7 linked regions of the Mus musculus genome follow. Each later gene encodes a partner of the first gene's protein in a complex. Links are inferred from orthologs where the notes say so. Each region holds a gene or a part of one and is shown in the gene's direction. Other genes may lie near its edges. The genes, in order: Kat2a, Tada2b, Sgf29, Tada3, Mbip, Tada1 and Taf4.

The links.
Region 2: Kat2a (region 1) and Tada2b share a complex: the UniProt entries of both Homo sapiens proteins name them as parts of the TFTC-HAT complex. The link is inferred for Mus musculus from reciprocal best matches to the Homo sapiens genes KAT2A and TADA2B.
Region 3: Kat2a (region 1) and Sgf29 share a complex: the UniProt entries of both Homo sapiens proteins name them as parts of the ADA2A-containing complex. The link is inferred for Mus musculus from reciprocal best matches to the Homo sapiens genes KAT2A and SGF29.
Region 4: Kat2a (region 1) and Tada3 share a complex: the UniProt entries of both Homo sapiens proteins name them as parts of the STAGA transcription coactivator-HAT complex. The link is inferred for Mus musculus from reciprocal best matches to the Homo sapiens genes KAT2A and TADA3.
Region 5: Kat2a (region 1) and Mbip share a complex: the UniProt entries of both Homo sapiens proteins name them as parts of the ADA2A-containing complex. The link is inferred for Mus musculus from reciprocal best matches to the Homo sapiens genes KAT2A and MBIP.
Region 6: Kat2a (region 1) and Tada1 share a complex: the UniProt entries of both Homo sapiens proteins name them as parts of the STAGA transcription coactivator-HAT complex. The link is inferred for Mus musculus from reciprocal best matches to the Homo sapiens genes KAT2A and TADA1.
Region 7: Kat2a (region 1) and Taf4 share a complex: the UniProt entries of both Homo sapiens proteins name them as parts of the TFTC-HAT complex. The link is inferred for Mus musculus from reciprocal best matches to the Homo sapiens genes KAT2A and TAF4.

Annotation. Positions count from the first base shown.
Region 1 is NC_000077.6:100,709,668-100,713,700, reverse strand, and holds the start of Kat2a (histone acetyltransferase KAT2A), read left to right. Parts: upstream 1-1,233; 5' UTR 1,234-1,296; coding exon 1,297-1,620; intron 1,621-1,764; coding exon 1,765-1,888; intron 1,889-2,222; coding exon 2,223-2,368; intron 2,369-2,471; coding exon 2,472-2,561; intron 2,562-2,797; coding exon 2,798-2,979; intron 2,980-3,064; coding exon 3,065-3,256; exon of another isoform or gene 3,257-3,451; intron 3,452-4,033. UniProt on the Homo sapiens protein: Protein lysine acyltransferase that can act as a acetyltransferase, glutaryltransferase, succinyltransferase or malonyltransferase, depending on the context.
Region 2 is NC_000071.6:36,474,286-36,477,785, reverse strand, and holds part of Tada2b (transcriptional adapter 2-beta), read left to right. Parts: intron 1-823; coding exon 824-1,816; 3' UTR 1,817-3,500. UniProt on the Homo sapiens protein: Coactivates PAX5-dependent transcription together with either SMARCA4 or GCN5L2.
Region 3 is NC_000073.6:126,669,794-126,673,279, forward strand, and holds the end of Sgf29 (SAGA-associated factor 29), read left to right. Parts: intron 1-836; coding exon 837-901; intron 902-1,744; coding exon 1,745-1,874; intron 1,875-1,940; coding exon 1,941-2,087; intron 2,088-2,244; coding exon 2,245-2,280; intron 2,281-2,362; coding exon 2,363-2,525; intron 2,526-2,776; coding exon 2,777-2,893; 3' UTR 2,894-2,986; downstream 2,987-3,486. Other genes in the region: Sult1a1 (sulfotransferase 1A1), read right to left, coding at 3,350-3,462. UniProt on the Homo sapiens protein: Chromatin reader component of some histone acetyltransferase (HAT) SAGA-type complexes like the TFTC-HAT, ATAC or STAGA complexes.
Region 4 is NC_000072.6:113,371,339-113,374,838, reverse strand, and holds part of Tada3 (transcriptional adapter 3), read left to right. Parts: coding exon 1-60; intron 61-2,232; coding exon 2,233-2,374; intron 2,375-2,457; coding exon 2,458-2,561; intron 2,562-3,500. UniProt on the Homo sapiens protein: Functions as a component of the PCAF complex. The PCAF complex is capable of efficiently acetylating histones in a nucleosomal context. The PCAF complex could be considered as the human version of the yeast SAGA complex.
Region 5 is NC_000078.6:56,343,095-56,347,317, reverse strand, and holds the start of Mbip (MAP3K12-binding inhibitory protein 1), read left to right. Parts: upstream 1-1,423; 5' UTR 1,424-1,517; coding exon 1,518-1,646; intron 1,647-4,223. UniProt on the Homo sapiens protein: Inhibits the MAP3K12 activity to induce the activation of the JNK/SAPK pathway. Component of the ATAC complex, a complex with histone acetyltransferase activity on histones H3 and H4.
Region 6 is NC_000067.6:166,377,970-166,381,966, forward strand, and holds the start of Tada1 (transcriptional adapter 1), read left to right. Parts: upstream 1-1,197; 5' UTR 1,198-1,433; coding exon 1,434-1,507; intron 1,508-3,997. UniProt on the Homo sapiens protein: Probably involved in transcriptional regulation.
Region 7 is NC_000068.7:179,911,646-179,914,646, reverse strand, and holds the end of Taf4 (transcription initiation factor TFIID subunit 4), read left to right. Parts: intron 1-1,040; coding exon 1,041-1,208; 3' UTR 1,209-2,501; downstream 2,502-3,001. UniProt on the Homo sapiens protein: The TFIID basal transcription factor complex plays a major role in the initiation of RNA polymerase II (Pol II)-dependent transcription.

The DNA of each region.
Region 1 (4,033 bases):
TGCGGGGTTACAGCTCCATCCTGGGAGCTGATGGGATTGAGCAACGGGGTTGAAAAGGTCTGGCTTGCTCTGCCCTGCCCTGCCCTGCCGGCCCTGCCCTACCCTGCCCTTTTAAGAATCGGGCCTGGGGCAAGGAAAATTGTTCTCTGGACTGAGCCAAAAGAGGGGGCCTTTCTGATCTTCCAGGAAGAACTATCCCTGACCTTTCACAGTCTACCTCTACAATGGGAAGAAACTGTCTATTTCTCTGGCTTTCCTCCACCCCCACCCCCCCATTAAGGAGTGGGCAGGGAAAAAGATGGAGGTAGGATGGAAGGGTATGAGGTCAGGAATCCTCTCCATCTTCAAAGCTGCCTAGGCGAGCCAGAAGAGGGGACCACCCCCTACCCTCCGCATCTTCAGTGTTGGTCTCTCTGGTTCTTTAGTTCTCAGCACACACAAACACACTCCCCCCCCCCTTTCCTGCCCACTCCCAACACACACACACACACACACACACGAATGCCCGTGCATGAACACACACATTCAACAGCAGCATGGCCCACAACTATGTCTCTTTGTTCTTTTGAAAATAAAACCGTTTCTGTTTAACAGCAACCCAAGTATAGAAAAAGCTGATTGTCACTGGGCAGTGATGGCGCATGCCTTTAATCCCAGCACTTGGGAAGCAGAGCCAGGCGGATTTCTGAGTTCGAGGTCAGCCTGGTCTACAGAATGAGTTCCAGGACAGCCAGGGCTTCACAGAGAAACCCTGTCTCAAAAAACAAAATAAAACAAAACAAAACAAAACCCAAAAACTGATTGTCAAAGTTAATTCATAAGTGTGAACACCACAGTACAAATAGTAGAATTAATGTTACATTTTATCTCTATTGTAGCTGCAAGCCTTAGCCGGCAGCCACAATAGGGCAGGCTTTTGCAATGTGGGAGCCAACCTCAGGCCCAGGCCTGTTCTTCCACCTATGGACTTTAAAAGGGCAGCATCCACAAATCCTCCAGACGGCCAGTGTTCTGGGGTGCCTCTTGTTCCCAAGAGGATAGTAATTGTCACTATCTCGGATGGCTTAAAAAAGATTAGAATGAAGTAATGGTCAAATCTAGGATGCTCAACCAAGCGACATTTGGTTGTCTGGAACCAAGAAAAAAAAAAGTATGGAAGGCCAAAGGATGGGAAGCGGCAAAGGAAGACTACGACTCCCATCGTGCGCCGGGGCCGTGACGCCTGCGCACTGTGCGCCGGTTGCCCATGCGGCCCTAGGGCTGGGAGCGCGGCGCCGCTCCGCTGCGGGGGAGGCCATGGCGGAACCTTCCCAGGCCCCAAACCCGGTCCCGGCAGCGCAGCCCCGGCCCCTTCACTCCCCAGCCCCTGCCCCAACTTCGACTCCTGCGCCCAGTCCGGCTTCAGCCTCCACTCCGGCTCCGACTCCGGCACCAGCCCCTGCCCCAGCTGCAGCCCCAGCTGGGAGCACAGGGAGTGGGGGCGCCGGGGTAGGAAGTGGGGGGGATCCGGCTCGACCTGGCCTGAGCCAGCAGCAGCGCGCTAGCCAGAGGAAGGCGCAAGTCCGGGGTCTGCCGCGTGCCAAGAAGCTTGAGAAACTAGGGGTCTTCTCAGCTTGCAAGGTGGGGGCGGGGCCTAGAGCAAAAGGGGCGGGGCTTGGGGCATCCAAGGTCTGGGGTAGGAATGGGGGGCGAAGCTCTAGCCATAGAGCCGCTCTTGCGCTTGGGATGCAGACAGCATCAGGGAACTGAACCTTCCCCCTCCAGGCCAATGAAACCTGCAAGTGTAATGGCTGGAAAAACCCCAAGCCCCCCACCGCACCCCGCATGGACCTCCAGCAGCCAGCTGCCAACCTGAGCGAGTTGTGCCGTAGCTGTGAGCACCCTTTGGGTAAGGCAGGCACCACCTTTGGAGCTGGGGCGGAGGGCAGGAGCCAGGTCCTGTTTGAACAGGGTGACATAAGTACCACAGAGCTTCTTGGAGACCTTCTAAGGAAATATTGGGTAGGGAATAAATGTGAATGTCCCATGGAAGGAAAAAAGGAGATCTGCCTTGGTAGCAGGTAGCTACCAAGGGCTGATGGGAGAACTGAGAACACTGGGTCTCCCTGTCTGTCAAGAATTGGAGAATCAAGGGTGTGTCACTGGCTAGTTAGAGGAGGTACAGGAATCAAGCCCCGTGGAGCTCTTCTGTTCTTCCCAGCCCTAATGTAACCATCTTGCAGCGGACCATGTGTCCCACCTGGAGAATGTGTCAGAGGACGAGATTAACCGGCTCTTGGGAATGGTAGTAGATGTAGAAAATCTGTTCATGTCTGTTCACAAGGAAGAGGACACAGACACCAAACAAGTCTATTTCTACCTCTTCAAGGTGAGTTCTCATGGAGTAAAGATGGTGAAGCTTTGGTGTGTGTTGGGGATCCTGCTCTCTGAGCTCTGCTACTCCTGTTTCTGCCCATCCCTCTTCCTTACAGCTCTTGCGGAAGTGCATTCTGCAGATGACACGGCCAGTGGTGGAGGGGTCTCTAGGCAGCCCCCCATTTGAGAAGCCTAACATTGAACAGGTAGGGCGGGCATGTAGCAAGATTAAAGGCGACTTAAGAGGGTGGAGAGTCTGGTTTATTTCCTCAAGCTGAGAACAGGGGAGAGGTTCAAGGAAGGGACATGGTGTTTGCTGACCTCAGAGTGGGTGTGGAAGTTGGAAGGGTCAGAGGTTCTCTTCACAGAATCCCTCCTATTTGACATGCCTCTGTTGGCTGTCCACACCTCCTCCTGATTTTGTCCCCTCCTTACTCCTCAGGGTGTACTGAACTTTGTGCAGTACAAATTTAGCCACCTGGCCCCCCGAGAGCGCCAGACAATGTTTGAGCTCTCAAAGATGTTCCTGCTCTGCCTTAACTACTGGAAGCTGGAGACCCCTGCTCAATTCCGGCAGCGGTCCCAGTCTGAGGATGTCGCTACCTACAAAGTCAATTATACCAGGTAAGCCCAGACAGGGCCTTACAGGGGAGGCTTGAACAGCCAGTCTGGCGGTCTCCACCCTCACCTGCCGCTCCACCTCCCCCAGATGGCTCTGTTACTGCCACGTGCCCCAGAGCTGCGACAGCCTCCCCCGCTACGAGACCACCCACGTGTTTGGCCGAAGCCTTCTACGGTCCATTTTCACTGTCACCCGCCGGCAGCTACTGGAAAAATTTCGGGTGGAAAAGGACAAACTGGTGCCTGAGAAGAGGACCCTCATCCTCACTCACTTCCCCAAGTAAGGCTCAGTCTGGCCTCCTGGGATTTTACCCCAAATTCATGTCCTTGCTGTTGTCCCCTTTTTTCCAGGAAGGCTTCCTGGATTGGTCCCTCCTCTCCCTCCATGGGCCTTCTGGGATCTGGGTGTCTACCTGGCAGATTTGCCCATGGCCCAGAAGCTACTTGCTAGTATGTGCTAGTCTGGGGATGGCAGGTACATGGCCCAAGCTAACGCTACCCTCTTTCAGCCCCCTGATAGATAGTTACTAATTAGTTTCCTCTGGGTGTGTGGATATCACCCCAGAGCCCCTCCTACCACAGTGCTCTGAGAAGTCTAGAGTTTACTTTTTTTGTTTGTTTATTTGTTTTTTCCAGACAGGGTTTCTCTGTGTAGCCTTGGCTGTCCGGGAACTCACTTTGTAGACCAGGCTGGCCTTGAACTCAGAAATCCGCCTGCCTCTGCCTCCCAAGTGCTGGGATTAAAGGCATGCGCCACCACGCCTGGCTTAGAGTTTACTTTTGAAGTGAAGCCATTACCTATCTCTGTGCCTCTGTTGTTCCACATCTTCTTCCCATTTGAATCTGGGAACAAGCATGTGGGAACAAGAGGTGACAAGATTGGCTCATTCTAGACCAGTCTGATAGAGAGGGGACTAAGGCAATTCAGGTGACTGGGTGGGTGCCCTGCCTAGCCACACAGCATAGGATGGCATCCGCTCAGACCCGTTCTCCTTGGCCACACATCATGACAAAATTGGGTCTCCAGTCTCTATCCTGGCTATGTCCTATCCTGAGC
Region 2 (3,500 bases), on another chromosome or scaffold:
ATTGCTGGTTCTGGAACTTGTGTTGAGAATAGCAACCGGGAAATGAGTGTGCATTTTGAGCAATTACTTTCTGAAGTGGCTTTAGTGGTTGACTTTAAGGAAGAGGCCTCTTGGCAAAAGGAAAAGATTGAGGGAGCCATTCAGTTTCCTTTCTTGCAGAAGTGGAGAAGGCTTTCAGCATTGGCAGCCCTGCAGTTAGCTTCTGTATGCCCGCCATCTCCAGCCACCTAAGAGAGGAACAAGCTACGCTCTAGAACCTAAGGCTGGAACAAAGCTAAGGAGTCCTGGCCTTTTGTCCTAGGATGCACAGAGAAACAGTCCCTTTTGTAGTCATTCTGCATGGACTTGCTTTGCCCTCTGGGCAAGTTGGCAAGTCTGCTTTTTAGTCTGAGTGAGAAGTATGTGTCTGACACCATATTGTCTTAAATGTTCTTCAGGATTTGCAGTGGGTAAAATGTCCAATAGCACATGTCTGCTTTTTCTTTAAGAAGTCAAAGAACAAAGAATGACTTTTAGCCAGCTGTCACCAGCTCCCATATAGCCTTGCACAAGTCTGTAGCTCTGGATCTTTCCGCTCAGGTACATCTATGTAGGTTCCTTTGTTGGGATACATACCTGAACATCTTTCAGGGGATAACTGGTGTGTGTGTGTGTGTGTGTGTGTGTGTGTGTGTGTGTGTGTGTGAGAGAGAGAGAGAGAAAGAGAGAGAGAGAGAGAGAGAGAGATAACAGCATTGATAGGAAGTAGCCCAAATAAAGCTTTGTGAGATGGTGGGATGAACTTGAGTGAAGTGGCTTGATGGTCTGGCTTTTGTCATTATAGGAAGACATGGCTGCACATGTTGGTGCTTCACGGACTCCCCAGGAAGTGATGGAGCACTACGTTAGCATGTATATCCATGGGAACTTGGGCAAAGCCTGCATCCCTGACACCATCCCCAACCGGGTGACAGATCACACCTGCCCCAGTGGAGGCCCTCTCTCGCCTAGCCTTACCACACCTTTACCCCCATTGGACATCTCTGTGGCTGAGCAGCAGCAGCTGGGCTACATGCCACTGCGAGATGATTATGAGATAGAGTATGACCAGGATGCCGAGACGCTCATCAGTGGGCTGTCTGTGAACTATGACGATGATGATGTGGAGATAGAGCTCAAGCGTGCCCATGTAGACATGTATGTGCGGAAGCTGAAGGAGAGGCAGCGCCGGAAGAACATTGCCAGAGACTATAACCTGGTGCCAGCCTTCCTGGGCAAGGACAAGAAGGAGAAGGAGAAGACATTGAAGAGAAAGATCACCAAGGAGGAGAAAGAGCTGCGGCTCAAACTACGGCCACTCTACCAGTTCATGTCCTGCAAAGAATTTGATGATTTATTTGAAAATATGCACAAAGAAAAGATGCTTCGCGCCAAGATTCGAGAGCTGCAGCGCTACCGGCGCAATGGCATTACAAAGATGGAGGAGTCGGCCGAATATGAGGCCGCCAGACACAAACGGGAGAGGAGGAAGGAGAACAAAAACCTGGCCAGCTCCAAAAGGGGGAAGGAGGATGGCAAAGACAGCGAGTTTGCAGCCATTGAGAACCTTCCTGGGTTTGAGCTGCTGTCAGATAGGGAGAAGGTTCTCTGTAGTTCATTGAACTTGAGTCCTGCACGCTATGTGACTGTGAAGACTATTATAATTAAAGATCACCTCCAGAAGCGGCAAGGGATCCCCTCTAAAAGCCGCCTTCCCAGTTATCTGGACAAGGTCCTAAAGAAAAGGATTTTAAATTTCCTCACAGAAAGTGGGTGGATATCCAGGGATGCTTCCTGAGGCCAGATGATGCTAAAGCAGCTTGTGAGCCAAATGATCTGGGGTCTCCCCCAACATTGTTGCTCTTTTAAACAAATTGAATTCTTTTTTCAAGGCTTAAATTTTTTTTTTTCATGACCTTCTGGAAGAAGCAATAGTAGCAATCTTAAATTTGACTCATAGGGGAGATAAGCGTGTGTCTTTTTAACTTAGTCCTAAGGTAATCCATTCAGAAGACAGCTTGCCTTTGTGTTCCTATGAAGACTGTCCCCAACCTTGGACGTGTCCCCTTTATTTCATGAGCCTTTCCCCGTTTGGGTTAAGAAGCTGTTATGCTGTGGGAGCCAGGAGCCGTGTGTTCCTGCCATCAGCTTTTCTCTGGTGACACAAGCTTTACTCAGGAGGGCTGTTGTTGGCACCCCTTTGCTGAGCCCACTGCTGCCCCCCCTCCCCAGCTGACACCCCAAGCACAGCCCCGGCACACCGCACTTTACCGGGAGGCAGGCTGTGCACAGAACCCTCTGCTGTGGAGGCCAGAGACCACCACCAGGCCCGCTCCCCACTGAGCCACTTAAGATGAGCCCCTCATTTGCACACAGTGACCACATGAGCTTCCACTTACCTAACAACAGCCATTTCAGGCCCTCAATAGTGCTTGCTTCATCTTAGCCTGGCCCAGCCTGGGCTGCCTGGACAGGCTCTCCTGGCACATTCCTGTACCCTTTAAATGGGAAAGCAGTTAACGGAAGGGCCACAGGGTCAGATGAGGGCTGCCTTTCGCTGCTGTGAACACTTACAGTACACCTGACTTGGAAGACCCTTTTGAGTTCAAGGCAGAGTGTGCAATGTTGAAATGGAGCAGTAGGTGCTGAGGACTTCCACTACCATTGTAGATCCCCTTTCACTAAATATAAGACATGCTAGCTAGCCTGGCTCAGTGAGCTGATTAGCGTATGGCAGGGGGCCTAGGAAGTACAGAGCATCCTGCCTGTGCCTTGGAGCCTGTGCACTGCTTTTGTATGTGATCTTGCAACAAACTCAGAAATGGCTCCTTCCCAGCCCTACTGAAAAGCTTGTTTCTGGGGCCTCCTTCACGGATTCATATGGTACCTTCCTTCTAAACTTGAGGAAGGCATTTGTCTTCCGGCTGCTCAGGGCTCTCACGCCCAGACCCTGCTTTAGAGTCCTGGAGTGACCACAGCCCCTGCCCCCTGTCCCTGAGAGGTACAAGAGCCTGTTTACCTCATAGAGTGTTTGGGCTCGGAAGTAAAAGTGAAGTTATTTTGAAGAAAACAACTCATTTCCAAGGACGACATGACGACGTGCCTTTTCATTTTACATCCTCTGTCCCCTAGGGTAAGTTTTTCAGCATTAAATAAAACATTTCAAATATACTGTAAATGGCTTTAGTTGTAAAGTGCATTGTGGGCCAGCAGGCCCAGATTTCTCTTGACACCAGAAGATGCTGAGCAATGGTGTCAAAGGACCAGCTCCACACTGCCCCCTGCAGTTGAATAGTGGACAGTAGCTGGTGTGACTGAACAGCAATGGGGTGGTTGGTACTCAATGCCTAGGTGAGCCAGTGGTTCTCAAAGTAGGGTTCCCCAGGCACTGTCAGAAATACAGTCATACCCCAGGTTAAATCTCGAAGCAGAGATTTGGGGGCTTCATTAACAGGGACTAGCAGGGTGTTTTTCAAACCATC
Region 3 (3,486 bases), on another chromosome or scaffold:
TCTTTATTCACCAATCAGAAATAATTTGAATCACATAGCTCACTTAGGTCTACATGGGGGCAGCACTTAGCATTACAATACACAGTAAAAGACCAAACCTCAATTGCTGTCAGGGGTGTCATGAGCAGTAAAATTTGTTTGCCTATATTATAATCCTGTGGGGCTGCTGTCACAGAATTGTAACACATACAGACCTTCTCTTTAGGGTCTGTATGTTTTTTCTTTTTATTAATATTTTGTATGTGTGGTATATATATGTTTATGTGGTGTGTACATGTATTTTTGTAGGTTCCCAGGCATGTGAGATGAGTGTGCATGTAGAGACCAGAGGCCAGCATTGGGTATCTTCCTTGATTATTATCCACCTTAGTTTTTGAGACAGGGTTTCTAATTGAATGTGGGACTCATTGATTTGGCTAGGCTGTTCGGCTAATGGGCTTCAAGGATCTGATTGTCTCTATGGTAACTCAATGCTGGAATTACAGGAACACACCCTGATGTCTGGCTTTCACATAGGTGTTGGGAATCTAACTCAGATCCTCAGGCTTGCACAACAGGTACTTAACTCATTGCGCCATCTCTGTAGTCTCTCCTTTTGTGTTGGACGCAAGGTCTCACTCTAGCCCAGGCAAACCTGGAACTCATTGCAGCTAAAATAGCATCACATTCACAACATAATTGCTGTAAACTCCTGAGTGTTGAGATTAGGTGTCATCCAGCACACCCACAGGATTTGAAGCTTTCATCATAGACTTGGTCTGAGGAGGCCACACTGCCACGACGCCTGTGCTGAGTGCCTCTCTCACCCAGCATTCTTTTCTCCCTTCCCTGCCTAGCATCCTCCGCAAAGCGCTGGATAAGATAGCTGAGATCAAGTCTCTGTTGGAAGAGAGGCGGATTGGTGAGTGGGAGAAAACACAGGGCATTTCTTTACCAGGCAAGGTGGGGGCTCAGGGGACAATAGTCACGGCTCCTAGCAGGGGGAACATAGGACCTAAATCGATAGGGTCACCCCACAGAGCTGTCTGGCACAGACTCAGAGGCAGAGAGTTTGCCTAGTTCTCTACCCACCCCTCCTACTGCCCTTAGTCACTTGGCCAGAGCTGCTCATCTCTTTCCTTCCTGTACTGTTCTCTATGGTATGCTTTGGTGACAGTCTGTCACCCTCTATATTCCCAGGCCAGCTACACATTGGAAACTTGCTTAGCCCCCAGCCTTCCAGGTTTCCTCAGGTTCTGTTGCCTTGGCTTCATGACCTCCGCCTTACCACAGAGGCAACTCTTTACCCTTACTGTGACCGTGGTAGCAATTTTTGTTTGTTTTCAGTTGAAGAGGGTGATGAGCTGAATGTGAGGAGACCTAGGATCCACACTAGATAATCTGTGCAGCTTTTGCTAAAATTACATGCACTGGTAGAAAGGAGATAAAGATGGGTATACATTTCAGGAATTGTCATTGGCCCAGCACCTCAGTCAGGGGACAGAATGTAACCTGCATCCTGGAAGGCCCGCTGTGCACTGTTTTAGTTCCTCTCCATGAAGGTGCCCACTTTCCTGACATCTCACCCATTTGGTAGTTAGACCTGTCAGTCAGTTCCTTAGACTCAGCCTTAGATCTGTTAAGAAGGGATGTGGATGAGTTTGGGGGAGTCCTGGTACAAAGTGCTCCAGCTCAGAGCAGTTGCTGGGTGTGACTGGGTCAGGTACCGTGCACAGGACCTCAGGGGTACACTTGCTTCCCACAGCGGCCAAGATCGCAGGTCTCTACAATGACTCAGAGCCCCCACGGAAGACCATGCGCAGAGGGGTGCTGATGACACTGCTGCAGCAGTCCGCCATGACCCTGCCCCTCTGGATCGGGAAACCTGGTGACAAGTGAGGGCAGGAACTAGCCAGAGAGGGATGGTGTTGGGGGGCCAGACTAACAGGCTTTCTCTACAGGCCCCCACCCCTCTGTGGAGCCATTCCAGCCTCAGGGGACTATGTGGCCAAACCTGGAGACAAGGTGGCTGCTAGGGTGAAGGCTGTGGAAGGGGATGAACAGTGGATCCTAGCTGAAGTAGTCAGTTACAGCCATGCTACCAACAAGTGAGTGTGTGCCTGACTGCATTCATACCACACCAGAGGGTGCTGGGCGGGGCTCCCTCAAGCTTCTTCAGCCCCTTTCCATCCCATCTCACACCCCACTCCCAGATATAAACTGTGCCTTCTGTTCCAGCACTGTTTCCCTTCTGTTTGCCCACAGGTATGAGGTAGACGACATTGATGAAGAAGGCAAAGAGTGAGTGTCCAGGTGGGGAGCAGGGGAGTCACCAAGTTTCTGAGAGAAGCGTCCCTGGTCACGGTCTATATTGTTCCCCCAGGAGACACACCCTGAGCCGTCGGCGCATCATCCCACTGCCCCAGTGGAAAGCTAACCCTGAGACAGACCCTGAGGCCTTGTTCCAGAAGGAGCAGCTGGTGCTGGCCCTATATCCCCAGACCACCTGCTTCTACCGTGCCCTGATCCACACCCCACCACAGAGGGTAAGGAGCCACCATGGAAGGTCTTTGATGATATCAGGCCCTTGAGGGGTAGTCATCTTCATTCTTTAGGATGCTGCCGTCTTCTCGTTGTCCTTTATCTCCTGCACATAGGCTTCCCTGGTAGTACCAGACCCTTTGACTCCAGAGTAGAGAGGAAAGCTGGAGAGGTGGGGAGACACGGCTAGGGCTCAGGGCAAGGAGAGGCTGCCCTGGTCTAGAAGCCCCTTGACCCTTCCTGTGTGTATTCTCAGCCTCAGGATGACTACTCAGTCCTGTTTGAAGACACCTCTTATGCAGATGGCTACTCCCCTCCCCTCAATGTGGCCCAGAGGTACGTGGTGGCTTGTAAGGAGCCCAAGAAAAAGTGAATCGGGCTGGTAGGCTTGAATCTGCCACTGCCAACCTCATGGGAGAAGGCTACAAAGGAGTTCCTATGATCAAATAAATACTCTTCCCTCTCACCATGTCTCCTGGGCCTCACTACGTCAGACCCTCTTGCCATCCTCCATCAGGCACGTGGGATTGATGGTCGCAAGAGGGAGAAGGTCCAGTCAGCTCCCAGTGGCATTTATTTGTTCAGGTAAAATACAGTTTATCTTACTATTTTTGCATGTTTGTACTTTAGGTTCTTTTTCAGTGTTAGGACTGATGGCTTTCCTGACATGTTGATAAGACCCTCTGCCTCAGCTACATCCCCAGTCCTATTCTCTTAGCTCAGATTTCCTTTAGGCATACAACAAATAAATTGAACACATCACATTTTTCTCTTGAGATCATGATGGGCTGTGTCAGCTTGCCTTGGTTCCCAGTATAGCCATATCCACTCATATTTGACAGCGGAACGTGAAGTCACAACCTGTCATTATCTTGGCATAGTGGGCATCAAAGTGCTCACTCTGGGCTACAGTGAAGGTATTTTTCCAGTCCCCAATGGTACCTGGAGAGAGAGAGAAAGAGAGAC
Region 4 (3,500 bases), on another chromosome or scaffold:
GAGGTACGGACACTAGAGGAGCTCCTGAAGCCCCCAGAAGATGAAGCTGAACATTATAAGGTAGAAACCTGAGCCGCACAGTCAGTACGACAGGGCTCAAAGGCGCCTGAGGGTCCTAGGCAGCAAAGCCTGCATCCATCACCTACTTTCTTCCCAGCCTCCTGCCTGCTCCATGACCCCTGCAGACAGTGAGGCTCAGCTTTCTCTGTCCTCTAGCCTTTCTCCAAAGAGCCTCTGAACACTCTCCTTGCTTTTACACTTGGGCGATACTTACTTTCTTTAACTATAAAAGTTAAGTTCCGCTGGGCGTGGTGGCGCACGCCTTTAATCCCAGCACTCAGGAGGCAGAGGCAGGCAAATTTCTTGAGTTCAAGGCCAGCCTGGTCTACAGAGTGAGTTCCAGGACAGCCAGGGCTACACAGAGAAACCCTGTCTCGAGAAAAAAAAAAAAAAGTTAAATTCTGGTTTTCTTTTCTAAGACACTGGAATTTGCTATGGTACCCAGGCTGACCTTGAACCCCTGGACTCAACCATTGTCCTCTCTCAGCCCTTCAGGTCCCCCCCAGGTGTCTGGGACCACAAACATACCTGGGTTAAAAGTTGGTTTTTTTGGTTTTGGGGGATTTTGTTTGTTGTTGTTTTTTGGTTTTTGTTGGTTTGTTTGTTTTGGTTTTGGTTTTTGAGACTAGATTTCATTTATCCCAGGCTAGCCTTGAACTTTGTTAGCTAACAAATTACCCTGAACTTAAGATCTTTTTCTTCTGACTCCCTAGTGCTGGGATTACAGGTAGGTAATGACCATGCCCAGTTGATGCAGTCCTGGTACAGAAGCCAGGGCTCTCTGCATTCCCAGCAAGCTCTCTACTGGCGGAGATCTGTCCCCAGCAAGTTAGCTTTATTGATCTTAAAAATAAAATATGCTCCATAAAAGAAAGTAGACAAACTTGTGAGGCGGGGACTCCACCACAGGACACCTGCCATCGCAGGTGCACGTATGACACAGATCTACTTCTAGGGCTCCCCTGACTTCTGTTTGCCACAGGATGGAGTCCAAGTGTTTCAGTGCTGGGTGACACCCCAGTTCTCTCCAGTTGTCCTTGGCCACATCTTTCTTTCCTGCTGCATTTATCAGCTACACCAGACATGTTCCCTCCCCCTGGCCTCACACCAGGGTCTACACACAAGCTCTTCTCAGCCTGGCAGACTCCCTCACTCCTCAAGGCCCCAAAGATGCCTCTGCAGACTCTCCAGCAGAAAGGGGCAGCTGGGCCCAGTGCCTCACCCCCATTGCACTCGGGAGGCTGAGGCAAGTTTGAGGCCAGCATGGGTTTACAAGTTTGAGGTCCTTTCTCCAAGGAGAGCAAAGGACATGGTCTCACTTGGTGCTTTCATGGTCCCCGGGCTGCTTTAAATGCACTAACCTGAATTTGAAAATCATTTATCTGCAACCAGAGATGTAGTTAGTCATATTGCTCAGTGGTAGAGCAACTTCTTAGCATGGACAAGGCCCCAGATTCAGTCCTGACCAAAAGTACTGCTACCACCTATAATCTCACAGAGTCAGCTTGTCCTATATAAAAGAAGTGGAGAAAAAGCAGTCCATTCTGACAGCAGTAAGTTTAAAGAACACAAGAAAATAATTTCTTCTTATCCCTGCTTTGGGCCCAAGTTCTCTTTAGAGGAATTACCGCTGACCAAGAGGATCCACAGACACAGTATTTTATACCTTGTATCTTTTTGTTGTCGGTAGTGGTGGTTGTGGGTTTTTGGTTGGTTGGTTTGTCTGCCTCCCGAGTACTGGGACTAAAGGTGTGCTATCCTGCCTGGCTTCTATTTTATATCTTGCTAATGCATATCAGCTTCTAGGTGTATTTTGATTTTTGGTTCTTGTTTGTTTGTTTGTTTATTTGAGAAAAGATAGGGTCTCAGCCCAGGCTCAGACTCCTGATCAGCCTATGTCAGCCTCCAGAATGATCATAGGCTAGGTGTGTACGCCACGCCTAGCTGTGTTGAGTCTTTCTATACGTGTTTCCCTTACTGGAGTGTGAGTGGAGAGATTGGATCTTGTTGGCCTTTCGTGGCACCAGCCTTGGCCTTGGGCAACAAATCCGTGAGGAAAGAAAGAATAAACGGATGCTTCCTGACCGAGTCCCATGCCAGGAGATCCTCTCACATTCCAGTCTCAGATGGGCAGTGTTTACCTCTCAGAGCTGAGTGAGCTCTTTGCTGCAGATTCCCCCCCTAGGGAAACACTACTCCCAGCGCTGGGCCCAGGAGGATCTGCTGGAGGAGCAGAAGGACGGCGCTCGGGCAGCAGCTGTGGCTGACAAGAAGAAAGGCCTCATAGGACCACTGACAGAACTGGACACAAAAGGTAAGCCTCAGCCTCCTCACAGCCCAGGCCTGGATCTGAGGCCCCGGAGCTTCAGGCCTCCAGCTGTTGTTCTCCCTGTCCAGATGTGGATGCCCTGCTGAAGAAGTCTGAGGCCCAGCATGAACAGCCAGAAGACGGGTGTCCCTTTGGAGCCCTGACACAGCGCCTGCTGCAGGCCCTAGTGGAGGTGAGCAGGCCATCTGACTGGGAACCACAAGCTAGGCATGGTGGCATCTGCTTGTAACCCCAGTGGCACTTGGGAGACAGAGGCTCTTAGCTCAAGTTCAATCTGGTTACATGTGACTGTCTCAGAAAACAAAAAAACATTTACACACAGGCTCGAGCGAGCATGCGCACACGTGCATACACACACACACACACACACATACACACACACACACACACACACACACACACACACACACACACACACACGAGCGCTCGTGTGCTGGCACTTTATTGTTATTTTGCTTTTTGAGATAGAGTCACACTATGGACTAGAACTTTTAGTCCTCGTGCCTCAATGCCCCTGTGCCGGGAATAGCAGATGTAAGTCTCCACACAAGGCTTCCACAGACACCTTTGCTGAGCAGTGGGTAAGGGGATTGATTCCATGCCTCCTCTGACTGGACGCCTGTGCTTGTGAGGAACTTGAGGTTCAGAAAAGTTAACTTTTTCTTAAGACCACAGCTAATAAGTGAAGGTCGGATTCAAGCCTCGCTTGGGGTTTCCACCTTAATGCCCAGGCCTGAGCTTAGAAACACCATTTACATCCTCTAGCCTCGGTTTCCTCTTTCGTCTCTAACACTATGATAGTTCTTCTCTCAGAGAACAGCCTGGGGTAGACTGAGGCCAGGGGAAGTCTGGCTTAGCCCCGCAGAGACTCCGTCTTATGTGGCTTTTCATCCTGACCAAGGTCACTCTGGGTATTGTGACTGCGCCAGGCCCGCAGAAGCTGAGTAAGGAGTATGGGAAGGAAGCCTTCTGGATGTGACTGTGACTCTTCCCTGTGGACATCACTCTCCTTGGAGAATCTGTCCCACAAGTGCCTCTGACTGCAGGGGTGCCTGGGAAATGTAGTGTAGCTCAGCTGCTGCGGGGAAGGCACAGTGTTGGGATATCTCCC
Region 5 (4,223 bases), on another chromosome or scaffold:
TTATTTCTTCCTTTATTCAGTCTGCTCTCTAAGGATAGACTACCCATTAACTTCATACTTCCACTTCCTGTATGTTAAATGCACTCAACTATCATGAAGAAGAGTTTTAAATCGTTTGTTTGCTTGCTTGCTTGCCTGCTTGCTTTTCGAGCTTTGGTTTCTTTGTGTAGCCCTTGCTGTCCTGGAACTCACTTTGTAGACCAGGCTGGCCTCATAAGGGATTTACCTGCCTCTACCTCCCTAGTGCTTTGGGATTAAAGGCCTGAGCCACTGCCGCCAGAGTTTTAATTCTTTTGTCCTTTATCTTTTAAGCTTGTTTTAAAAATTTAATAGAGCCAGGCATGGTGGAGCATGCCTTTAATCCCAGCATCCGGGAGGCAGAGGCAGGCAGATTTCTGAGTTTGAGGCCAGCTTGGTCTACAGAGTGAGTTCCAGGACAGCCAGGGTTATACAGAGAAACCCTGTCTCAAAGGAAAAAAAAATTAATAGAACTCTACATTATAAAATTATAACTTTTTTCGCTAAAATAAAGCTATCTAATAATACCCAACAAGAGTCGATTTAGTTTTATATCCTAATTTTAAAGAGTGTGGTTACATGGAATAAATTGGTCTTTTCTTTCTTTCTTTCCTTCTTTCTTTCTTTCTTTCTTTCTTTCTTTCTTTCTTTCTTTCTTTCTTTCTTTCTTTCTTCCTTTTCTTTCTTGTTGTTTTGTTTTGAGGCAGGGTTTCTCTGTGTAGCCCTGGCTGTCCTGGAACTCACTCTGTAGACAAGGCTGGCCTCGAAATCCGCCTGCCTCTGCCTCCCAAGTGCTAGGATTAAAGGCGTGCGCCACCACTGCCCGGCTGGTTTATATTTCTATTGGATTTATATTGAAACAATTTTAAGGTCAAGTGTCCAGTGATTGCACTGAGAACCCGTTGCATGTCAGAACTTTGACATAAACTATTTTGCAGGTGTAGTCATCAATGTCGTTCTATGGTAGGAAAAAGAAGCATAATGTAGCCCTTGTGTTCTTTTTAAATTCCTCATATCAAACAGTCTTATAGAGATGAAAATGTTCTATCCAGTAACGATCATCCTGGGTCAAGTTTCTAGTAATTAGAAAATTGTAAAGCACTGCTCCATCACTAACCCGCAATCTTTTTCCAAGACAACTCGACTGTTAACATTTTAAATTTTAATAGCGGGACTCAAATTCTAACACTTAAGAGTAAGGCTCTGCCAACATTCACAGGGAGCATCTAAGAGCCAAGTAGGTTTCTAAACCAAGGTGGACCACAGAAAACACCACCAGACAGAAGGTCCAGCTTCACATACACAAGTTCCCTCGGAGCACAGCTATCCTTGCTCTTGATTGGTCTTCCTGTGTGTCTGTCACACACAGAGGGTGGGGCCTATCCTCAAGCTCTAAGTGAGACGCTCTAGTTTTACGTCATCTCAGTGCGACGAAGTCCGCGAGGGAGGGGTGGGGTGAGCGCTGTTCGCGGTGGTTGGGGGGCTGCTTTGAAGGTGTCATGGCTGCTGCTGCGGAGCTTAGTTCCTCAAGCGGCAGCGAGAGGAGCCTGGAGCAATGCTCCAGCCCCCTCCTCACCCGCGAGGTCCTCTGCGAAGTCTTTCGCTCCTTGCACACCCTGACAAGACAGGTAAGTGGGGGTGCGGCGGGGAAGGGGTGGGTGGGGAGGGAGAGCATCCCGGTCCTTGTCCCCTTAGTTCTCTCGGAGGCGGGGGTCGCGGAGCCCCGCTGGCACGGTGTGTGCCGCTGGTGTGCCGTGGCCGGGCTGTGACACCCGGAAGACCCTGGGCCCAGCTCCTGGGACCGGGAGATGCCAGCGGCACGCTTGATGGCCAAGGTCTGGAGAAAACTGGGGTCCTGGCGACGAAAGCTTGCCCAAAAGATGCCTAAAAGGTGATGAGGGTGAAGGAGGTTCCTGGCGATCACGGTCCTTTTGCCTCCAGTGTATTTATCGCAGAAACTCACTGGTTAATATGGCCTGAAACTTTTCCTAGCGCCATCCCCACTCCTTGGGGGGTGATTTACTCTGGGGTTTTTTGTTTATTTGTTTGTTTTTCTGTTTTTTGTTTCTCTTGCCATTTATTGCATCTCTTACTCTTTTAAACGGGGAGGGATATATAAGGATTTCCACAATTTCATTTGTAGTATACCTAAATTTTAGTGTGAATTGTTGGATGAGTTATGTGTGGCCACTTCTAACTACATTACGACTGTCGTGTAGCTTAGCTAATTGCTCTTTACAGAAAATGTCACAGTAAACCTGGATTTTAAAAACTAGGTTACACTTTACTAGATAGTCGTGATGTAAATGAGGCAATGTTTAAATAAGGAACAAAAGTATGTTTGCCTGCTTTTAGAAGAGTTTTGTGTCAAACATGTTTCCTAATTTGTTTGGGGACTGGTTATAGTGCTTGAAATGGACACAGCACACATTTATGTCAAGGGCAGTGGTACCACCAGTGAGAATAGGACATTTACCTGATTTGTGAGGATTATTTTTAAAATCCTTAGTTGGAAAACCTTAGTAAGTTTATTCTGACTGGCAAACTACTTGAGTTGTACATTCTGTTTGGTGTTACTGGACTTCGAAAAGTTAAAAAAAATTAAACTCAGTTGCTTGATAAGCAATTAGGAAAAAAATTCTTACAAAGTCTTAAGCACTTTCCTTATTAATATTTCAGTAGTAACATCTCAGATCTTTAAATAGTTTAAAAGTTAGAGAACTTTTTGGCGTGGATTTGGAACTTAAAGATTTATTCATTTATATTTCTAATGTCAAGATGAGAAAAATCTTCTCAAATATTATGCTTAGAAATTGCAAAATAATTTACATTGATAAATTATTTGAATTATAAAATATCTAAATTTTGCATACTGAGTTTTTTAATTATATAAATTTATCTCAAAGGTTCAAATGGAAAAATGATTAAACTTAACTTATGCCACTTGCCAAAAATGTGTAGAGAAAATGAAGTTTTTGTAACAGTAAAGGGTCCTTTAACAAGTGTCAAATATAAGATTTTTTAAAAAATTAATTAAATGCTATTTTAGTAATATGTATTTTGAGATGCGTGATTAAGGATGAAAGCCATCCACACTTATAAAGTTGCCCCTGCGGAATGTGTCCTTTCGCAACAAATTAAAGGGACTTTTAAGATGTAAATTGTAATATGTCTAAGTTCACCTTAAATATCATTGAATTATTAGCGCTTTTCGATAGAAAGTGTAAAACTGAATTGTTAAAAAGCATTTTTCCTTCAAATGCAACTAATGTGTTTCTACTGAACATACATGACTGAGTAGTCAGTGTTAATAGTGTGTTAATAGAAAAATTTGAACGCCTGATTACTGTCCCAAGGATTATGGGATAAAAATTCATAGAATCCATATGTTACTGGGGAATTTGCTGAATGAATAATTGGATTATTTGGGGGCCATTTTTAAGTTAATTTGTCACCTTACTGTTTGGTTTCCATAAAAGATCAAGTGTCTCCAGTTGCCTTTGAAAGCTTCCATACTGACATGAGAATATGATCCAAATATTAAGATTTCTTTCCTATAATTATTTTCTCTAGAAAGGGTGATGCTTTGCTTTGGTTTAAGGTTTGCCTGCTTATTCCCCAAACATAAATCTGCCAAGAGCTCTATAGTTGACTGTGGCAAGAATAATGAACTGTAAAAATAAAAAAACAAGACATGAATTGTCCATGGAACCAAAGAGATCTCAGGTTCCTATGTTAAGCACTCTACTGTATAAATAGTGGATACAGAAACCTACTGCCTAAGACCAGGGGCATCTAAGTCCACATTTGGCAAACATAAAGAAATATGAAATTTTACATAGGCTATACTGACATAGGTAAACTTACACTAAGTTAAGATTTGACGATAAGATTACTAAGATAACTGCATTTATTATTGAATATGAAAGTAATCCATCAGCACATGTCTTGGTTTTTTATTCTTACAGCTCTTTAAATTTGTATTTGAGCTCATGAAACATGCATCTTTACTTTGTAGAAAATATGACATAATTTTTAATAAATTATTATTGCAAAATAAGTACAATTGACTTGTTTCCACTTGAATTGTGTCTAGCAAAGTTTATAGTGATTCCCTTATACTCAGTCAAATGTACAGGTGGAAGCTTCTCCCTCTAAAGTTTTGACTGATTTTGATATTAATTTTATATTCTTGGTAGTGTTCT
Region 6 (3,997 bases), on another chromosome or scaffold:
TAACAGGGCCCGCTGCTCACAACCACCTGTAAATTCACTCACAACGACATCTACCTAAAAACAAAATCTTTAAAAAATTATGCTGTCATTAAAAGTATGAACATTAGCCGGGCAGTGGTGGCACATGCCTTTAATCCCAGCACTTGGGAGGCAGAGACAGGTGGATTTCTGAGTTCAAGGCCAGCCTGTTCTACAAAGTGAGTTCCAGGACAGCCAGGGCTATACAGAGAAACCCTGTCTCAAAAAACAAACAAACAAACATGAACATTAAGGCAAAATAATAGCCTGGTGTCAGATAGCCAGGGCTACAAAGAGAGACCCTATTTCAAGAACAAACAAGCTGGGCATGGTGACCCATGCCTTTAGTCCCAGCCAGCACTAGAGGCAGTTGGATCTATGTGAGTTAAGAGGCCACTCTGTCAAAACGAGAGAGAGAGAGAGAGAGAGAGAGAGAGAGAGAGAGAGAGAGAGAGAGAGAGAGACTTTAAAAGTAGGCTTTAAAAAGTTTTAAGCTGAACACAGCTATGGCTTCCTAGTGTAGTATATATGTGCATATTCGAGTGTGAATTTGGAATTTGAGAGAGGACAAGCTAGCTTGTGGGTCCTTCCACTTGACCTTGACTTGAAACGAGGTTCTTTGCGTCTTTTCCTCTGTGGGTCAGGCTAACTAGCTGCTGAGACTCCTCCTGTTACCTCCCCTAGGACCTTTGGTAGTCCTGCTTGGGAATTATTTTTATTTGATCTGTCAATAGTGAATGTTCAGAACTTGAGTAACATAAATCCTGCCTTCAGGCAGCTCTCGTTTTAGTTGCAGGAGGCAGAAAACGAGATCGACCAACTAAATGTCACAATAGGTGGTGAGCACTTGGCAAAAAAATGAGGACAAGAGGATAAATTAGATATTGCATGCACTCGGGGACCTGAGCTCTTCCTTCTGGGAAGAGCTGACCTGCAGTCAGGGCGGGGCCTGGCCGGAGGGCGGGCGGGGCGGTCAAGTTCGCGCCCCGGGGGCCGCCGCGGGCGGGCAGGCGGGCGTAGGTTGGGCACGCGCCCACCAGGGGAAGCGGGTCACGTGAGCCAAGAGGCGGGAGTTGGCGAAGGGAGTTTGGCTGGGTGCTTTCCCAACTGCGAGACGGCGGGGCCAAGAACCAAACCCACGCAACGTCTCCCTAGCGGATGGGGGCGGGGCCGCCGAGCAGAGCCGAGCCGAGCCGAGCCGAGCGGAGCCGAGCCGAGCCGAGCGGAGCCGAGCCGAGCCGAGCCGAGCCGAACCGAGCCGAGCCGAGCCGAACCGAGCCGAGCCGAGCCGAGTGGAATCGAGTCGAGTCGAGCCTCCAGCGTCCGGCGCGCAGGCCTTCCGCCGCGTTGATCTTTCGGTTGCTGGTGGCCGTGGGCCGCGCGGTCTACGGTCGGGCTGAAAGACGCGCGCTGCAATGGCGACCTTTGTGAGCGAGCTGGAGGCAGCCAAGAAGAACTTGAGCGAGGCGCTGGGGGACAACGTGAAACAGTAAGAGCCGCGGGGACCAGCCTCCGGGCCTGTCCGTGGGTGTGCCCCAAGCTCGGGGCTGCCGTAGTCCCTGGACTCTCTTCACCTCCCGGAGGCCGTAGGCGTCTCGCGGCCGCCACGGCTCCCGTGCGGGCTCCGCCGGGACTCGAGGCGCTGGAGGACTTTCTCCTGGGCGTCCCGACACCGGTGATACCCGCGTGGGGGCGGGAGCAGCGCCCTAGGCGCCCCGGAGTCGGTAGAGCGGGGGGCGCGCCGGGGCGGGGTGGGGGGGCCCGGAGGGCTTCCCGGAGGCGGAGGCCCGCGTTGCTCAGGGGCCAGCTAGAAGAGCTGTGAAAGCGGGTTCGGAAGGCACAGAGACCCCAAGTGAAGTCGGTCGGTCACCCACCTTACAACCACAGCATCCAAGGGGGCGGCTGCCTAGCCGGCCGTAGGACGCCTTTCCCAGTGTTCCACACGGGCCAGCCAATCCTCAGACCTGAGATCGGCACAGTTCGTACTCGAGAGACAGAGATTACTTATTCCCCCAAAGTCACTGCCCAAGGATGGGACTGAGGCTTCTGGTTCCCGCCGTGTGATGCTTTTCAGGGGTTACTTGGAAAGTCCTCCCGTTCCCCACACCGCCGGGCTGTCAGCAGGGACTGGGGCAGAGTGACAGCTCTATAAGCAGTAGCCTGCGGCAGCCGGAGGAGGAGCCTCGATCTTTTGGGGGAACTTCAATTCTGGCAAACCCGTATTTCCTGGCACTGAAGTTGAAATGATTGACAAGAGCAGCCCGTGAAGCAGAGGTGGTGTTAATAGAAAGGCCGTCAGAAAAGCTTAGGTGCAAGCTCCTCGTCGGAACCCCTCTTTAAAAGGCTTTAAATAAATAAATAAATAAATAAATAATAAGTATTATTATTTGTAGATTTTTAAGCACCGGAATTAAAAAGAGATGCCCAGGGAAATAAGACATACCCAGATGTGGACTTCTCAATGGAGAGTCACAAGTTGTGCGTTTTGGCAGCTGTCTTGTTACACCCAAGAATTTTGTACAAGTTTCTTTTTCTTTTTTCTCTTTTTGCTGATGAGGTGGACAAGCTTATAAAGTCTGGTAGAGTAAAACCAGGCGACATTAAAGTTGCACAAGGGGTTTCTCTGTCCAGATGACCAGACAACTGCGGTTTTACAGCCTGGAAGCGAGAAGGAGGGAGGCCTTAGACAGAGATTGTTAGTTGTGTTGGAATTTTCGATGTTAGCTGGTAAGAGGCTGCAAGCTGAGTGGGGTGAGGGACTCTTTTGCGTTTTTTACGTTTGTGATGTTTTCAGTTTGATAGTCCTGCCTCAAGACTGTCACACCAAGCGCCATGGGTGAAGGACCACCTGAGATGCAAGGAGGAAATTAAATTAAATTTAAATAGGTAAAAATGGCAGCCTTTGGCTTCGTTAGAATGGTTGTGTACTTTTATAATACTGTTTGGTGAGGCTTACGGTTAAAAAGCCTATTGGGAGACTTGTCTCTTTTTCCACGCTCACAGGGTTTTGGAAGTGAATGGTTTCACACGGAGCTAAATCTGCAGGCTATGACTTGTGAAGGCCATGACTCTAACTCTGGCCAGAGTAACTGTGCCTTCCTTCCAGACTCACTTAGCAAACTCAGGCATGACAGAAACCTTTGCAGTCTTTGATCCATTTGTAATGGCCAGAGCTGACTGTGATGTTGCACAAATATGGGTGCTGATTCCAAATTTTATGTATCTGTCATGTGAAATTCACAAGTCTTTGTGTCAGGGACACAGTTAATGATGGGATTGTAATGCATTTCTGTTTCCGGTCTTCATTTTTAAAACCTGCCATCTTGGTTAAGCTTGCTTGTCTCTGGCCATTTCCTCTTAAGCAGTTTGCTTTTCGTTGTTCATCATGACCATTTAAATGGGATCCTGGGAGGTAGGTAAAACAAGGGTATACAGAGTGCATGGTGTGAATTGTTTACCATATGTCCAGCGGTCCAGATGTTAAAACCACAGGCTTTCAGTTACTCATATCCAGGAATACTTCCTTTCTGGCGAGTGATTAGAAAGGCAGCATTTCTGCCGATTTGAGCTCATCTGAACGGAAGCGTGGCACAGGAATAGGTGTTAGTCACCACTCTCCTCCTCATAAAACGTTCACGCTTAGGAGTAAGTCCGCCATGTTCTTTTAAGAAGGCGGCCAAGAGAAGGAAAGGCACAGGTGTGTCTGCACCAAGTCTGCCCTGAGTCCTCCTTTAGGGAGAAAGGATGTTTCTTGTTGCTCCTCTGCCTCTTTGGTGTGTTCATTTGCTAGGCACCACAGGCGAGTTGCTTAAACCACAGAAGTTACTCTTTTCACAGCTCTGGGGGTTGTAAATCCTAGGCCAGTATGCTGGACGGGTGGGTTTCTTCTGAGGCTCTCCTGGGACCTCTGCAAGAGTCTGAAGTATCTGTCCCCTCCTTTGCTGCTGACTAGACAGACTAGCTTAGGAGTCACCTCGTG
Region 7 (3,001 bases), on another chromosome or scaffold:
ATAACATCCAAGGAGATTGTCTACCCAAAAGGACATGGCTACCAAGGTGATGGTGGAGACCAGGGCCACAGATGGACAGTGGTGGCTCCCAGCATCTGAGGAAAAGTACCCTATCTTCAGTTGGACATATGCATGAAGAAACTGGCCAGGTCATGTAGGCACACTTGTACCTGGCCTGCCTGCCAGCTTCCTATGACTGCCATCTACTGGCCCCTGTGCCCCTGTGCCTCATGAGTAGAAGGTGATACTCCAGTTTCCTAAGCTTCGACTATGGAGGCACAGTCAGGACATCACTGCAGTTTGTACACTTGAATACTAATGGACAGTTTAACCAGCAGGACACACCTTGGTTCTCTACTGTGAGAAGAGGAGAGCTGTCCATGGGGATCGTGTGGTTTGAGTCCAGCGGGGGTCAGATGGAGGCAGTGAGGAGATCAGCTGCTTAGTGGCCAGAAGCCAGCCCTAGTACATCCTATTTCTGAGCAGGAAGGAAGTGAGCTCAGTTCGCTGGATAGCTGTGGTGACCTAGGGAATGGGTCTGCAGCAAGGCCCAGCCAGGGGAGCAGGGAGCCCCCTTCCCTTGGCCGTGGATCACCGTCCTGACCGCTGAGCAGTCGGCCTCTCCAGCTGACCAGCAGCCTGCCCTGCCCATGAGTTCAGGCCTAGTGCCTCTGTCAGCCAAGGAGGGATGCCACGGTCCCAGGTGTGGCATCAAGTGTGGTCTTTGATCCCCTCACCTGAGCCTCTTGGGTAGTGTTGTGTTGTGTGATATGGAAAGTGGGGGCTGCGCGTTCAGAACCTTCTCTCCCACTCAGGGTCAAGCTTATGGGGACATTGGAGGTGGTGGGCATCCTGAGCCTGTTGCAGAGTGGGGAGTAGGGGCCTCTGCCCTGCATAGGGACTTAAAGTAGTAGAACTGTGGAAGGAGCTTGGCAGGGTGTTTCCTCAAAACCAGGGTCTTTGGGATACTTGAATCTCCTCCTCCCTCCTAACTGTTCTATGGTCACTAATGCACATGTCCTCTTCTTTCTCCCCACCAGGGCTCAGGCCCGGGCGCAGCAGTCCCAGGCGGCTCCGGCGTGGGAACCCCCAGACAGTTCACACGGCAAAGAATCACGCGGGTCAACCTCAGGGACCTCATATTTTGTTTAGAAAACGAGCGTGAGACAAGCCATTCACTGTTGCTCTACAAAGCATTCCTTAAGTAACAGGATGAGCCGGCGTTTCTGATGGGATGCTTGCGGACGTTTTTATATATTTGCAGATTACGCCTTTTTGTAACAAGCAAATGGGATATTGTTTAAAAACAGCCACCTCTTTACAATGGAGCAGTTTTATACTCCTGTTTATAAATCAGCTCTTCAGTGCGGCAGAAACCGTGTCTGCAGCAGAGAGAACACAAAGGCCTGTGGGTGCTCTCACAGGACAGCTGACCCGAGCTCATCCTCGGCTGAGTGGCCTTCTTGCCAAACAAGCCATATTTAAAGACTGATGGAAGCGCTTAGCAAATAATTAGCAGTTGCTCATCCTGTGTGCGTTTTGGTTCAGCTCACCCTGACTCCCGCTAGGTGTATGTCTACAGCCGATGACCTCATCTCTTCCTTTCTGTTGTAGCAGTCAGTTGGCGAAGCAAGCTGACTTTTTAGACTATTTATCACCTCGCCCCTGCCCTGTCCTGTCCCTTCCCTCCCGTCTACACGAAGCTCCCCAGGAACACAAGCTCCAAGCAGGGTCCCGGTCTGCAGTAGAGGCCGGGGTGCAGGCCGGGGGCAGCACCTGTACAAACACAATTGATTTGCTGCAGTTTGGAAGCTGTGAAGTGGAAGGAAGTGAGAGCCTAGGAAGTGAGAACCTTTTCAGCGTAAATATATTTTACTTGCACTGTGTTTTTAGCTCAGAGTGAAGACTTAGATGAAATAAAATCAGAGTTGAGAAGAATCAACAACAGACTGTTTCTCAGTGTGGATCAAGTGTTGGAAATGGTTGGTGTATTTTGTCAGTAATTGTACATAATTTTTGGCACATAACATAAAATGGCTATGTAAACTATAATTATTTTGCTAAGAGACTGTATGCAAGCTGTGGCCAACCTTACAGGCGTCCAGAGCAAAGCCCCTTCTTTGTACCTATTTTTTTATTACAAATATACTAATTGGTTCTTTATATTTTCAGAGGTTATTGTATTAAATTGTCTATTGATAGTACTTTTATGACTGTAAATACTTGGCTTTCTCCGTGTGGATTCTCATGTTAGACTTCAATTCGCACGTGTGAACTGAACGCTGATCAGTATTTTTTACGACACCCAAGAACTGTTACACCTTTCATTTTATCTTTTAGGAAATCCCTGTCTTTCCATTTTTTCATGTAAATTTTGCACAGTTACTTGTTAATATGTAAATATTTTACTTTCAGAAATGAAGTTTTTAATTGCTATTGTTTTATATAGGATTGAAAGAAAATTAACTCCTTTATTAAAAACAAATTTATCTGTATTTGTCACGCCTGCTTTTCCATTCCTGAGTCTCTCTCTGGTCCTTATGAATCTAGGAGTTAACCAAGCACAGGCCCCCTTCTGGGCTGGAGTTGGGGCCAGTCTTCTGTTCTGTTCACCCAGAGGACACCAGAGCTGTGCTTTTCCCATTCCAGGCCTTATCCTGTAGACTGTCTGAGGGCAGGCATAGAGGTGTATGATAGACAGATACCCCTGTAAGCTTGGGCTGCAGGTGGTAGGTAGGCTTACCTGAAGACTCCCCCTCATTGCCATCCCTGATGTCCTCATCAACAGCTGTAGAGATCAAGGACACAAACTGTGGACAGATGTCTTGGCAGGATGGCCAGAGGCCTGAGGTCCAGGCAGTAAGGGTTGACTTCCAGGCTTTCTTTGGTGGCCGTGGGCATACAGAACAGCACCCTCTCTGTCTTCCTTCTGAACTCCTGGATATGTGTCTGTCTGTGCTAAGGCTTCTCTTTCTGTCAGCACACCATTCAAGGATACCCA